3 linked regions of the Canis lupus familiaris genome follow. The main gene of each other region encodes a partner of the protein of the gene in region 2 in a complex. Links are inferred from orthologs where the notes say so. Each region holds a gene or a part of one and is shown on either strand. Other genes may lie near its edges.

Region 1 (4,141 bases), on a different chromosome or scaffold from region 2:
AGCAACAATTGTGCCCTAAGCCCTCATCTAAGAATTTAATTTCCCATGTTATGCCCTTCTTCTCTTCTTACCATGAGATCTTCATCACGGTCTGGAGACAGCACCAGGGGGATGATGACCTGGTTGCGGAACAGCGGTGTCTTTTCATGCTTCAAGACCTTGTTCAAAGTGTTCAACTGTCCAGAGAGCAAGGCGAAGCTGTCCAGGACAGACGGCCTGGTAGTGGTAAGAAGGTGTCACAATGTTCTCAGTAAAGTAGCCTCGAAGGGGTCTTTCAGACTAGGAATACCCAGGCTCACTCGAAAAAGACTCAGAGCACTACAGCTGGACTGGGCAGGAACCAGACTGGATCCCAGGGATTGTGGGGTTATGAAAACGGGACACGCTTTTAGTTTCTAACATGGATGGAGAAATAAGGCAGCTCATTATTTGAATGGGGTAAAAGACCAGTGGCAAAGTAAGAACCATGGCTATGCTTATCATTAAAAATTTATAAACTGAGCAAAAAGAGATCTTTCAGGCCTGAAAACAGGATCCACACTTCCAGAGTAGGTTGGACCTAAAAGACTCAGCAATATCTATCGTAAGAGACCCGAGATGAACGCTGTACTCTTACTATAGTGGGAGGACCCACTGACGGAGTACCTCCTCCCAAAGAAGTCAAGGGTGACAATCAAAAGCTAGAAAAAACTTGGGTTGGAAAACTGGGCATTTCTCTATTTCCGTGCCACAGTGGCCCTAAGACAAACTTCACTTGTTAAATGTTGGGAAACATAGATCTTTTCAAATTAAAAGATGTTTGCAGGACAGCACGGGTAGCTCGGTGGTTTAGCACCGCCTTCAGCCCAGGGCGTAATCCTGGAGACCCGAGATCGAGTTCCACGTCGGGCTCCCTGCAGGGAGCCTGCTTCTGCCTCTGCCTGTGTCTCTGCCTCTCTCTCATTCTGTGTCTCTCATGAATAAATAAATGAAATCTAAAAACAAAAAACAAAAAAACAAACTTGGAAATTTAAAAGAAAAAAAAATGTTTGCAAAGTGATAAATTGTGACATCCCTGGAGATGTCCTATCAATCAGGAGGCCTGCCCCCTCAACCCCCACCCCATGGAGCCCTCCTCAGCTTGCCCTGGCAACCCTTACCAGGTCAGCCGGTCATACTCGTTCTCCAACTTGTATATGAAACTCCCCAGTGAGTTCTTCAGATCAGCCACTTGACTCAGCAGTGCATCTAATGATGCCTCCAGCTGCTTCTCCTCCCTCTGCACCAATAGGAACAGGTTGGTTACCCAGATAGGTGTGGCTATGTCGTATACAGGGAAGGCTGAAAAGCCGGGATGACAGTATGCAAAACTAGTCAAGTAACCCAGGATCTCACTGGTGCAGGAAAGCCAGGCTGTTCTCTATCTTTGGTATTTGGGTTACAGACAGCATCAATTCTTAGACCTTTCAATCCATTTGCCTGACCTCAATTCCTCCTTTCCCTCATTGTCTGCTAATTCATGTCTGGCTTTCCTCTGTATTAGACACTCTCTCAGGGAAGCCCGCGTGGCTCAGCGGTTTAGTGCTGCCTTTGGCCCAGGGGCCGTGATCCTGGGGCCTCAGGATTGAGTCCCATGTCGGGCTCCCTGCATGGAGCCTGCTTCTCCCTCTGCCTGTGTCTCTCCCTCTCTGTGTCTGTCATGAATAAATAAATAAAATTAAAAAAAAAATAGAAACACTCTCACTGAGGCATTTTTTTCAGACATAATCCCTGGGCTTTATTAACTTTTGTGTGCCTCTGCAGTATTTTGTCTTTCTCTTGTCCTAGAACTTGCCTTGTGAGCCTGGAAGTTCTTGCCAGTCACATAATCTCCGGAAAACATACTCATGCTTGTGGAAACGAAGGAAACTAAGGTTTCCCTGAAACTTGTACCCCACGGCCCCTCCCCCACTCCTCATCTGCGTCAGCATTTGAAGTTTTCAAGCTTCTTCTTGCTGGATTAGTCGGCATTCGCTTTATCTCTGTGCCCTTCGCTTTATCTCTGTGCCCGTATTCCTGCGTCCCTTCCACAAGCTCACTCAGCCTGAAGACATTTACTGACAGCCAACCAGGTGCAAGAAAGTAAGTGGCAAGTGAAAAACAAAGACAAAACGCACATGCTCCTAGGCGCCAGAGACACAATTTTAAAATGCTGGGGTGTCTGCAGTTTCCTCCCGTCTGTGGTCTCCAGTTTTACTCCATTTCTTCATCCTCAACAACTAACAGGCTCAGGCTGGGAGAAATGATGCAGAGCTGTCTTGCAAACTCACCAAGGGGCATGAGGAGGGCCTGGATCCGGGGCTCCACTCACAGAGCCTCAGATTTTAAGTAGCTCGGCTCTGGGCCTCCCTCCCCTTCCCCCAATCCCTCGGGCTCCTCTGCAATTCCATCCAGATCCCTCACGTCTACATCCAACAGCTTGGGCAGGGGCCGGAGCCAACTTGCATTTTCTTGAGCTGCCTTCCTTGCATTGCATATCAACCGTCCCAGTTACCGTAGCCTGATCCCTCCGTGCACGCCAGCTAGTCCACGCAGCCTCCTTCCCCACGACAAGGCCCCAACCTCCCATCTCTTGCCAGGTGGGCCCCACCCCCACCGCTCCAGTCGTCCGCGCCCCCGCGGGCCCTTACCCGTCAGCTACGCGCTCTGCCCCTCCAGTCGGCCCCGACTCCTCACTCTCTCCTCGGCCAGCCCATTCTCAGTCCTGTCACCTGAAGCTAGCTAGCGGTTAACAGCCCCAAGCCCGCTCTCACCTGCATGGCGATGGCGGCGATGGCGGCTATAGCGGCGGCGGCGATGGCGAAGGCGGCGATGGCGGCGGCGGCGGCGGCGGCGGCGGCGGCTTCCGCTTCCGGTTTCCTAGTCGGCGATCCACTCTAGAGGCCTCGTCCCCCAATCAGAAAACTCAGGGAGAGCGCGGCCCGCCCACTCACTTCCGGTTCCGGCGGGTCTCCGGGAGCCGGGTCAAGGGTCAAGAGTGGAGCATCTTCTCTGGCCCGGGCCGGCGCGGGAGGGCTGTGTGATGGCCTCGGAGCGCCCGGAGCCGGAGGTGAGGGGCGGGCGGGCGCAACGCAGGGCGCTGGACCCCGGGCCCCGAGGAGGAGGCCTCCTCCCGGTTTGGGGGCGGCCGGGCCGCGTAGCCTGCGCAGGGACCGGCCCGGCCCCAAAGGCCCGACCACTGACTGAGCCTCCTCCCCGCGGCCCGCAGTGTCGTCGTGGGGGCGGCTAGAGCAGAAACCCGTCGCTTTGTTTTGTTTATTGAAATTTCAGACACGTCCCCGGCTCCAGGGCTCTCGGATTCTTCGGTCTTTAATATCGATGTTAACAAAACCTGAGGTTTGATTTTTCTACCGCAGTTTCCGTGGGCAACATGGCACTAGTACGTTGATGGTTTTTGCATTTCTGCAGGCATTGGAATGCCGTGAACAGCGTGAGTTAACTTAGTTGTAGCGCTTATGCACTTAGGGAGCAGCTTTGGTTTCGTGGGAAAAAAAAGAAAAGAAAAAACATTTGGCTCAGAGTGAAGTTTCGTCCCAGTATTGGTGTCGCCATTTAGCTGTCTGTGCAACTTTGGGCAAGTCTTGACTATCCCGATCCTGTTTCCTTCTTCATTAAGATACCTGCCTTACGGTGTGTTGTGAGGACCTTCTGCATTAAACCAGAAAATGCATATGAGCACCCATTAGGTGCTAATGAAAGGAACTTGTACGTACATGATGTTACTCAAACTTGTGCCAGGGAGGTGGCAATATCCATTTCTCATTTGCAGATAAGGAAACCCAAAAGTGAAGGTTAAGTACCTTACCCAAGTGCTGCTGAGCTGGGGAGTAGCAGAGTTTTGAAATTAGAAGATCTGAGCATAAAATCAGATTTGGAAAGAACATCACTAAAGGAAGTGCCCAGTATTCTAAGAGAATATATGAGTAGGTGGGAAGGGTGAAGGATGTGTATAGTGACATAAATAGTAGTTATTACTTAGTGAATGCTTACTGCATGCCAGGCACCATTCTCGACACTGCAAATATCAGTTAGTGCTCTCATCCCTAGATGCTTTTTATCATCTCCATCTTTCATTTGGGGGAAATTGAGGCACAGAGCTCACCAAGCAACATAGTAACACAGC
Region 2 (4,108 bases):
CTATAACTTTCCTTAGATACCAAGTTCTGTTTTTTCTTTTCTTTTTTTATTTTTTTAAGTAGTCTCTACACATCCAACCTGGGGCTACGTGGAACATAGGACCGGGAGATCAAGTGCACATGCTCCACTCACTGAACCAGCCAGGTGCTCCAGATACCAAGTTCCTATTATCTTCCTTCACACTAAATCCTCAATAGGTCTCACGGCTAAGTATAAATTGCACACCTTATCTGTTTAAAAATTGTCCCTGCCCTTACCTACACATAAGGCTCATTTTCCAGGAACCTCCTCCACTCTCCTCTCCACCAACCTTCTTCTGTTCTTTCTACTGAGTTCCTCGCTGTCAGAGGAGCGAGATTTTTATTAGTTAACTGCACTCACACCTTACCTCTGAACTCCAGATGCCACTCTTCTGCTACTCACTTTGCCTATAGAAACCTTCCTTTTCCAACTTTTTTTTTTTTTTAAGATTTTATTTATTTATTAGAGAGAGGCAGAGACACAGGTAGAGGGAAGAAGCAGGCTCCACGCAGCAAGCCCGACGTAGGACTCGATCCCGGGTCTCCAAGATCACGCCCCGGGCTGAAGGCGGCGCTAAGCCACTGAGCCACCCAGGCTGCCCCCAACCATTTTCTTCTTACGCGGTCAATACAGCTCGATTTAGTGCTTAGTTGTTTTGGACGCTTTCCATCCCATGTGTGTCAGCTTCCCCAGCACACCCACATTCAGAATTAAAGCACGCACCCAGTCTTCACCTGGGTGGCCCATCACCCCCTCCACCCCCACCCCCCCAGAGGAGACACCCTAACACAGCCAAGATTGCCTGGTGAATTTTAATTTGGATTTGTTGAAGTTAAAATCGGGATCGCGACCCCCAAGTATTCCTGAGTTGGTTGCTGTGTATATATTTGGTGATCCACCTGGAAATCCAAAGTAACGTAAGTATTCAAGGCAATGTTTAAAAACGAATATACACGGGAAGATGGGGAAAATCACTTCTAAAAACTGCAGCATCTAACCATCTCCGTAAAATTGTCTACCACCCGAAAACCTCGAGAACGAGTCTGCTGGACCCAAAACGAAGGAACTCGGAACCCCCACCCCAAAGTCACTCAAAATAACCTCCGCGAGGCGCCTTCGCGGGCGGAGCTGCCCGAAACACAGCCTCGCAAAAGTCCCACCCGCGCTCTACTCGCCGGGCGCGGAGGGCCGCTGACTCCACCCCCTCCGAGAACGCTGGCCTGTGATTGGCTACGACGCTTCCTGAAGCCGCCCAATAGCGAGCGAGCAGCTGCTTTAGCCTCCGGAGCTTGCAGGAGGAACATGGCGGACCGGCTCACACAGCTGCAGGACGCGGTGAACTCGGTGAGCGATTTTGCTCTGTTGGTCTCTGTCTTCCCCTTTCTTAAGGTAAAACGAGGGCAAAGGGCCCCGGGAAAAACACACGAAAGTGGGGAGCGGACTGGGGCAGGGCTTCCGCAGAAAGCGCTGGCGGCGGCGGGAGGCGGCGCGGCGTCCTGGGAGGTTTGAGGCCGGCTGCCGGCTTCGCGGAGAGCTGAGGGAGCAGCAGCCTCTTTCACCGGAAAAGTAGGGGGTCTCTCTGTCAGGACACTTAGGCGTCACGGTCCTGTCCTGTTCTCTGGGAACAGTTTTATTTTACTGCCAGTCGTACTTCTGGGCTCACTTCTCTTTCGGGGGTAAGGGGGAAAGCGGCAGAAGCTCCTTGTTTCCCTTATCAGTGTTAAGCCGCGAAGGAGAAACTGTGCTCCTGACGATTGGATATTTTTTTGTTAAATGTCAGCCGAGAGTATTCCTGCGTCAGGACTTTGCAGGTTGAGCCTGGAGTGATGGTGAGGTGAGAAATTCTGTTTCCTCTTCGTTGGTTCCCAGAGACAAAGGGTCTCGTTCCCATCTCTTGGCGCTCCCTGGCATCAATCAGTTTGGGGAAAACTGACATCTTTAGGAGAGTGAATCTTCTAATCCTTGCGTATGTTCCCATTTATTTAAGTCTTTAATGTGTCGCAAAAAGTCTACTTTCTGTTAAGGGTCAGATCTTGTAAGCCGACCCCCTTACTTTGATCCTTATTATTTTTTTCCTGTTATGCCTGACTGGAAAGTACATGCGAACCAGAGGATTCATGTGCTCATGACCATAAAGAGTTCAACAGTTTGCCATTAGTTATATTTCTCATTGTCAATCTGTTTTTTTTTTTTTTTAAGGTTTTATTTATTCATGAGAAAGAGAAGTACAATCCATGCAAGGGAGCCCGACGCGGGACTCGATCTGGGGTCTCCAGGATCACACCCTGGGCCGAAGGCGGCGCTAAACCGCTGAGCCACCCGGGCCTGCCAATCTGTTTATAATTTGATATCCCAGGTCAAATGTCTTTAGAGAGAGAATATGTTGACTGGAAAATCGAAGTATCTGTTCCCTTGCCAGTTTTTTTCACACCGGAAGATAAGAAGTTAGGATTCTTGTTGCATCCATCTTTGTTCACTTCAAATGAGGGGGGAATCGACTTGTGAAAAACTGATTTACTCCGGGCGGCCCCGGGTGGCTTAGCGGTTTAGCGCCACCTTCAGCCCGGGGTGTGATCTGGAGACTCAGGATCGAGTCCCACCTCAGGCTCCCTGCATGGAGTGGGCTTGTGTCTGTGCCTCTCTCCCTCTCCCCCCCCCCCCCCCCCCCCCCCCGTCTCTCAATAAATAGTCTTAAAAAAAATAAAATAAAACTGACTTACTCCGTAAATAAAATAAGACCTTTTAGGACTGAGAGGGCTAGCCCCTAAAGGTTGATGAAGTCACTAAGATAAATTCTACTTTATGGTGACATGCGTGGGCTGCCAGCCAACTTCCTTCTGGGAGATATTACTTTGAGGCTCTTCAGAATCAAATTGTAACGATGCTGCTGGGCAGAAATGTTATTTTAGGAGAAATGTTGCATATTCATACATGTCTTGTAACCAGAGAGATAATAGGAGACAGTGAATATGGCCTTGACTCCAGGGTAAGCATGCTGATAATTGGATTTTGGAGAGAAATCTCTAGGTTAACTAGTGTGAATGCCTAATGTGTATGTAAGCACTCTCATGTTTACAGAAAAATACTCCTTGGGGAGTTTACAGTCTAATTGGAATGATGTCATATACTCAAGACATTTAAATAATTTAAAAGTAGGATTTGGTTAGGTGTTTATAATGAATCAAGCGCCTTCAAATGTAAGTGCTGAGGTAAATTGGAATAGAGAGTGATATGAACTGAGTAAAGGAAATCTTCTAAGCATTGATCTGAATTGTAATTATTTGTAAAATTATTAAAGTTATTTGTTTTACCCCCTGAGAACTCCATGAGGGCAGAAGCTGTGCCTTTGTTCATTGTTTCATTATAATGTTTATTACAATGCTTGTCATAGAGTTGATTTTTTTAATATTTATTGAATAAATGGATCTTGAGAGAGCTTTTGAAGAACACAACAGATAGCCACTGTGTTGAATATTTATGCTTGTGTGTTTTCTTTATTCCTCAGAACAGTGGTGTAATGTGAAAATGTTCCCAGTTTAAAAATTAAAAACTGTACTCAGGTTACTAGAACCAGAATTGGAATCCACATCTGTACAGCTTCTAAGCACTTAATACTGTGCCATTACAAGTAGCAAAACATGAGCAACACAGTATAGTCTGGAATGAATTTATCACTAGTTAGGTATATATGAAGGAATTAGTAGAAAATGAAGAAGTAGAGTTGACTTAGATTATCGAAAGCTTTGAAATAGCCTGAAGGGTTGGAGATTAATCTTAAAGGCCATGTTGGGGTGAGCTCAAATTTAAAAAAAAAATTTTTTTTTAAAGATTTATTTGAGGGCAGCCCAGATGGCTCAGCGGTTTAGTGCCGCCTTCAGCCCAGGGCGTGATCCTGGAGTTCCGGGATCGAGTCCTGCATTGGGCTCCCTGCATGGAGCCTGCTTCTCCCTCTGCCTGTGTCTCTGCCTCTCTCTGTCTCTCTCTTCTCTGTGTATTCTCATGAATAAATAAAATCTTTAAAAAAAAATAAAGATTTATTTGAGAGAGAGAGAATACAAGTGGGAGGGGCAAAGGGGGAGGGAGAGAA
Region 3 (4,099 bases), on a different chromosome or scaffold from region 2:
AAATGGGTTGAAGCTACACAGAGATCTATTATATCCCAAAATAAGGAAAAACTTTCCAGCACCCAGCTAATGGTGCAACTGTCCCTAAATGGAGAACAGGTGCTCACTGGACCCATGCAGAGTGTAGACGGCCAGCCCTGAACTAGACCTTGCCTGTGTCTCCAGGTCCAAATGGAGTCTCCAAGTCTACACATGCACACAACAGCTAATGAAAAAGCTTTTCTCCGGATTATTCAATGAATAAGTGGCTGTTCATAAAGGAGCAGTCAGGGTGTACAGGGTCCTGCAGGGAGAAGGATGTGGGTTTTGTGAATCAGTTGACACAAATCAAAAAAGTGACTTGGAAAAAAAATAAAAATACAAAAAATAAAAAGTGACTTGGATAAAGTACAAGTCTGAATCATTTTCCTATCAAACGTGTTTGTTTAAAAGAAAGACAAGAAAAAAAAAAAAAAAAAAAAAAAGAAAGACAAGAAGTTCAACTATTGCTTTCTGACTACCTAGTGAAGACAAAGAAGAGGGATGGGTTCAAGGTTGAAACAAGTGTGATGCTTGGCACAGAGGAGGCACAGCAGCTATAGACACACTGGTTTGGGTTTGTTTTTTGGACTTTTTGTTTAAAAATTAAAGGCGTGTGGCAACCCATCAGCAAGCAAGTCTATGGGTACCATTTTTCCAACTACATTTGCTCACTTTATGTCTGTCATTATTTGATAATTCTCACATTTCAAACTTTTCTTTATCATTGTATTTGTTAGGGTGATCTGTGATCAGACTCCATAAAACCTCAGATGACAGTGTTTTTTAACAATATTTTTAAATTAAGGTATGTACCTCTTTCTTGACTTAATGCTATAGTGTTAACAACCCTTATACGCACTAGAGAACCCAAAAACTTGGGTCACTTTATTGCAATATTCACCACATTGCAGTGGCCTGGAACCACATCAACAGTATCCAAGGAATGCCTATATTAAGAGTCAGGTAAGGTCACCTCCTCCAGAAAACCTTCCAAGTACCTGATGTTCTTTAATCTTCAGCCTCAGGTAATACCACTGCATCTACAGACTGTGGGTTCATTAGGGTCAGAAATTCAGTGAGATGGGGTGAGTGGTAGATAGATAAAGAGAGACCTGAGAAAAGAGAGAGGATTTTGTTTCACATGCAATGGGAAACCACTGGGAGGTTTTAAGCAAGAAAATACCACGTCATAATTTACATTTTTGAAAGATCAAGTTGGCTTCCCTGTGGAAAACTGTTTTGCTTGGTTTGGCTTGCGGGAGGGAGGACACAGAAGGAAGGTAAGAGCACAAGCAGGGAGAAGCAGGGGGGTGGACACCGCAATAATCCAAGCTGGAGAGGGGGTGGCTCTGTATTAAGGTGGAGGCAACTGAAAGAAGTGGAGAGATTCAAAATATACTTTTTTCCAATGGGAAATGAGAAAATCTGTCAAATATCAGTATTTTTAATGTAATAACTATACACATATTTAGGACTATAAAAATTAAACTTACTTTAGATACTTGGCATATTCTGGTTCTTTCCAGTAAAGCAAGTACTTAAGATAATTAACAAAAGCTTTGTCTTTGAAGTAACCTCTTTGGGCAAGAACTGAAAGGCATAAACAAACAAACAAAAAAATCTGTAGAGCAAACCAATCCTCGGACTACTGATTTGTGACCCCTCACATAAAGCATCTACTTATATAACTTCCCCACCACCAACACACACTAAATGCTGAACATAAGTCCCAATTTGTTCTCACACACACCAGTATAAGCGTAGCAGTTAATTCCACTGGATTGAGAACATATAAAAATAGGTATCATTAGGAACTGCAGTTCTTCTGCCAGAGATCACTAACAGCTACTCAAGTCAGTAAGAGCTCAAGGACTTACAGTTAAGATAATTGGGGTTGGCTAGGCACTGCACAAATTCCAGCTCCAACTGAAACCGAAGTCGATTCCCGGCATCATCTAGGAGGGAAGTGAGCAAAAATCATCCAAAGTAAAGGTGACTAAAAAATAAATAAAATAAATAAAAAACAAAATAAAGGTGACTATCTAAAGTGCTGGTTTGTAGAAAGAAAACAGCAGTGGAGTGTTCTGAGTATTGCTGAGAGTATCTCTGAAGGCATAAGGCAGGGATGACTGTCCTAAGCTGGATGTGGGAAGAGAGGGCCGTTTCCTCCCAAGTCTAGAGAGCAGGGCCCTGATTAATGAGACCAGTAACTCCTTAAGGAGAAGTCCGAGGAAGCGGGCGCCCCCTGGGCAGGATGTTCACCCTCTGGCAGCCACTCCCCAGGACCTCCAGGGTGACCAGTGGCGGAGGGCTGCAAGCTAAGCAAGAGGAGGGGGCGAGTGTGCTCCCGCTAGGGCCTGGCGGGGAGGGGGGACTGGTTCGGGGCGGCAGGATTTGGGAGGCCCGGGGGAGGGGGGTGTCAGAGCCCGGAGGCTGGGAGGGCCAGGACCTGGGATGGGTCGGGAGGCCGCGGGGTCGGGGCCCGGGAGGGGTTGAGGCTGAGGGGTGGTCGGCGTCTGCGCGGCAAGCGAGGAGGAGGTAGCCGCGGACAGGAGCCCCGCCGAAGTCACGCCACACAGGAGTCCCGGGGGAAGCTGGAGGAGGAGGCCAGCCGGCTGTAGCTGTGTTTGCCAGGGCTCCGGCCGCTACCTACCTGTCTCCATAGCGACGGCCGCGGCCATCGCCAGCAAAAGCGCCGAGACGTCACCAGCACGACGAGCAGCTTCCCGGAGGTCCCGGAAGCTGCGGCCCCACTTCCTGTCGCGGGGCAGTGTGGGATGCGGGGCGGGGCGGTCCTCTCGGGCCCCGCCCACCGGCCTCGCGCAGACTCGCAAGGGGCGAGGGGCGGAGCTGGGGCGCTCCGAGCGCGGGAGGGGTCCTGTCCCCGCCTCTCTGCTCGCCCAGTGACGTAGCCGCGGGGGTCCCGAGCGCCTCCGGGAGCGCCTACATCCCCTCGGTGGGGTCTCCCGCGGGGGCAGTCCTCAGCCGGGAGAACGCCCAGCGGCCGTTCCAACCCACAGGGACCCCCCCCTTGACCCGAGCGCAGGTGCGGCAGGTGCGGCAGGTGCGGCAGGTGCGGCAGGTGCGGCAGGTGCGGCAGGTGCGGCAGGTGCGGGGTCGGCACTGGGCCAGCCCCCTCCGCCGCGCGTCGGCCGGGTGGCCGCACCGTTGACCCCGGGAGCCCCCTTGCAGCAAGCCAGCACTGGAGGTCCGCAGGCCCGCGACGCTCCGCCAGCCTGATGGGCTGATGGATAGGGAGGCTGTTGTTCCAACCACCCTCACGATCCAGACTTCGGGGACAGGGAGCAAACCCAAACCGTGACCACTGGGAGGATCACACCGCGGCCGGAAACCGAGGGGCAAGAAACAGACCTCCATTAATTAACCAGTTGGCCTTTGTGTTTCAAACCAAGCAGGTATTTTGTTTATGCTAAGCCCTGTGCCCTGTACGGGCACCCCCAGTCACACACATTTCCATACAGGTCAGACTAGATAAAAGTCAACATCTACCATGAGGCGTGATCTCGGAAGGGAACCCGGCCCGGGTCTCGCAGAGGGCGGGGAGGGCAGTACTATTTATGGAGCCTCTCCTCTGTGGGCACTTGGACAAGGTAGGCAGGACCCAGGCTCTCAGGAGCTCACACTGGTGAAGGGGCACACGGCAAATGATGAAAAGACCATTTTCTATCGCAATGAGTAACTGAAGGAAACAGGTAATGGGAGGGGTTCCTCACTCAGAAGTGTCAGGGAAGGCCTTGGTTAGGGGACTTGGATCTGAGGCTTGTGTGGGTGGACAGTGAGCCGTGCAGGGGTCTGGGACAGCAACGCAAGGGCTGGACGGGAGCAATCTTGGAATGTTCTGGAACAGAAAGAAGACCAGCGTTGTTGGAGCTATGCGAGGGACAAGCGTGGTACAGGAGAGAGGACGTTAGCGAAAGAAGCAGCAGCAAGTTCACAAAGGGTCTTGGAAGCCATAGAAAGGGGCTTGGGTTTTATTCTAAGGTCAATGGGAAGACACCGCAGTGTTTTCAGCAGGGGAGTTGCGTGATGCAATCCCATTTTTAGAAATATCTTGGCT

The links.
Region 1: MED21 (region 2) and MED8 share a complex: the UniProt entries of both Homo sapiens proteins name them as parts of the mediator complex. The link is inferred for Canis lupus familiaris from reciprocal best matches to the Homo sapiens genes MED21 and MED8.
Region 3: MED21 (region 2) and MED31 share a complex: the UniProt entries of both Homo sapiens proteins name them as parts of the mediator complex. The link is inferred for Canis lupus familiaris from reciprocal best matches to the Homo sapiens genes MED21 and MED31.

Annotation. Positions count from the first base shown.
Region 1 is NC_049236.1:16,881,090-16,885,230, reverse strand, and holds the start of MED8 (mediator of RNA polymerase II transcription subunit 8), read right to left. Parts: upstream 2,831-4,141; 5' UTR 2,778-2,830; coding exon 2,772-2,777; intron 1,259-2,771; coding exon 1,140-1,258; intron 217-1,139; coding exon 72-216; intron 1-71. Other genes in the region: KICSTOR complex protein SZT2, read left to right, coding at 3,041-3,067. UniProt on the Homo sapiens protein: Component of the Mediator complex, a coactivator involved in the regulated transcription of nearly all RNA polymerase II-dependent genes.
Region 2 is NC_049248.1:25,930,678-25,934,785, forward strand, and holds the start of MED21 (mediator of RNA polymerase II transcription subunit 21), read left to right. Parts: upstream 1-1,304; 5' UTR 1,305-1,323; coding exon 1,324-1,365; intron 1,366-4,108. UniProt on the Homo sapiens protein: Component of the Mediator complex, a coactivator involved in the regulated transcription of nearly all RNA polymerase II-dependent genes.
Region 3 is NC_049226.1:30,892,089-30,896,187, reverse strand, and holds the start of MED31 (mediator of RNA polymerase II transcription subunit 31), read right to left. Parts: upstream 2,831-4,099; 5' UTR 2,703-2,830; coding exon 2,675-2,702; intron 1,977-2,674; coding exon 1,899-1,976; intron 1,612-1,898; coding exon 1,515-1,611; intron 1-1,514. UniProt on the Homo sapiens protein: Component of the Mediator complex, a coactivator involved in the regulated transcription of nearly all RNA polymerase II-dependent genes.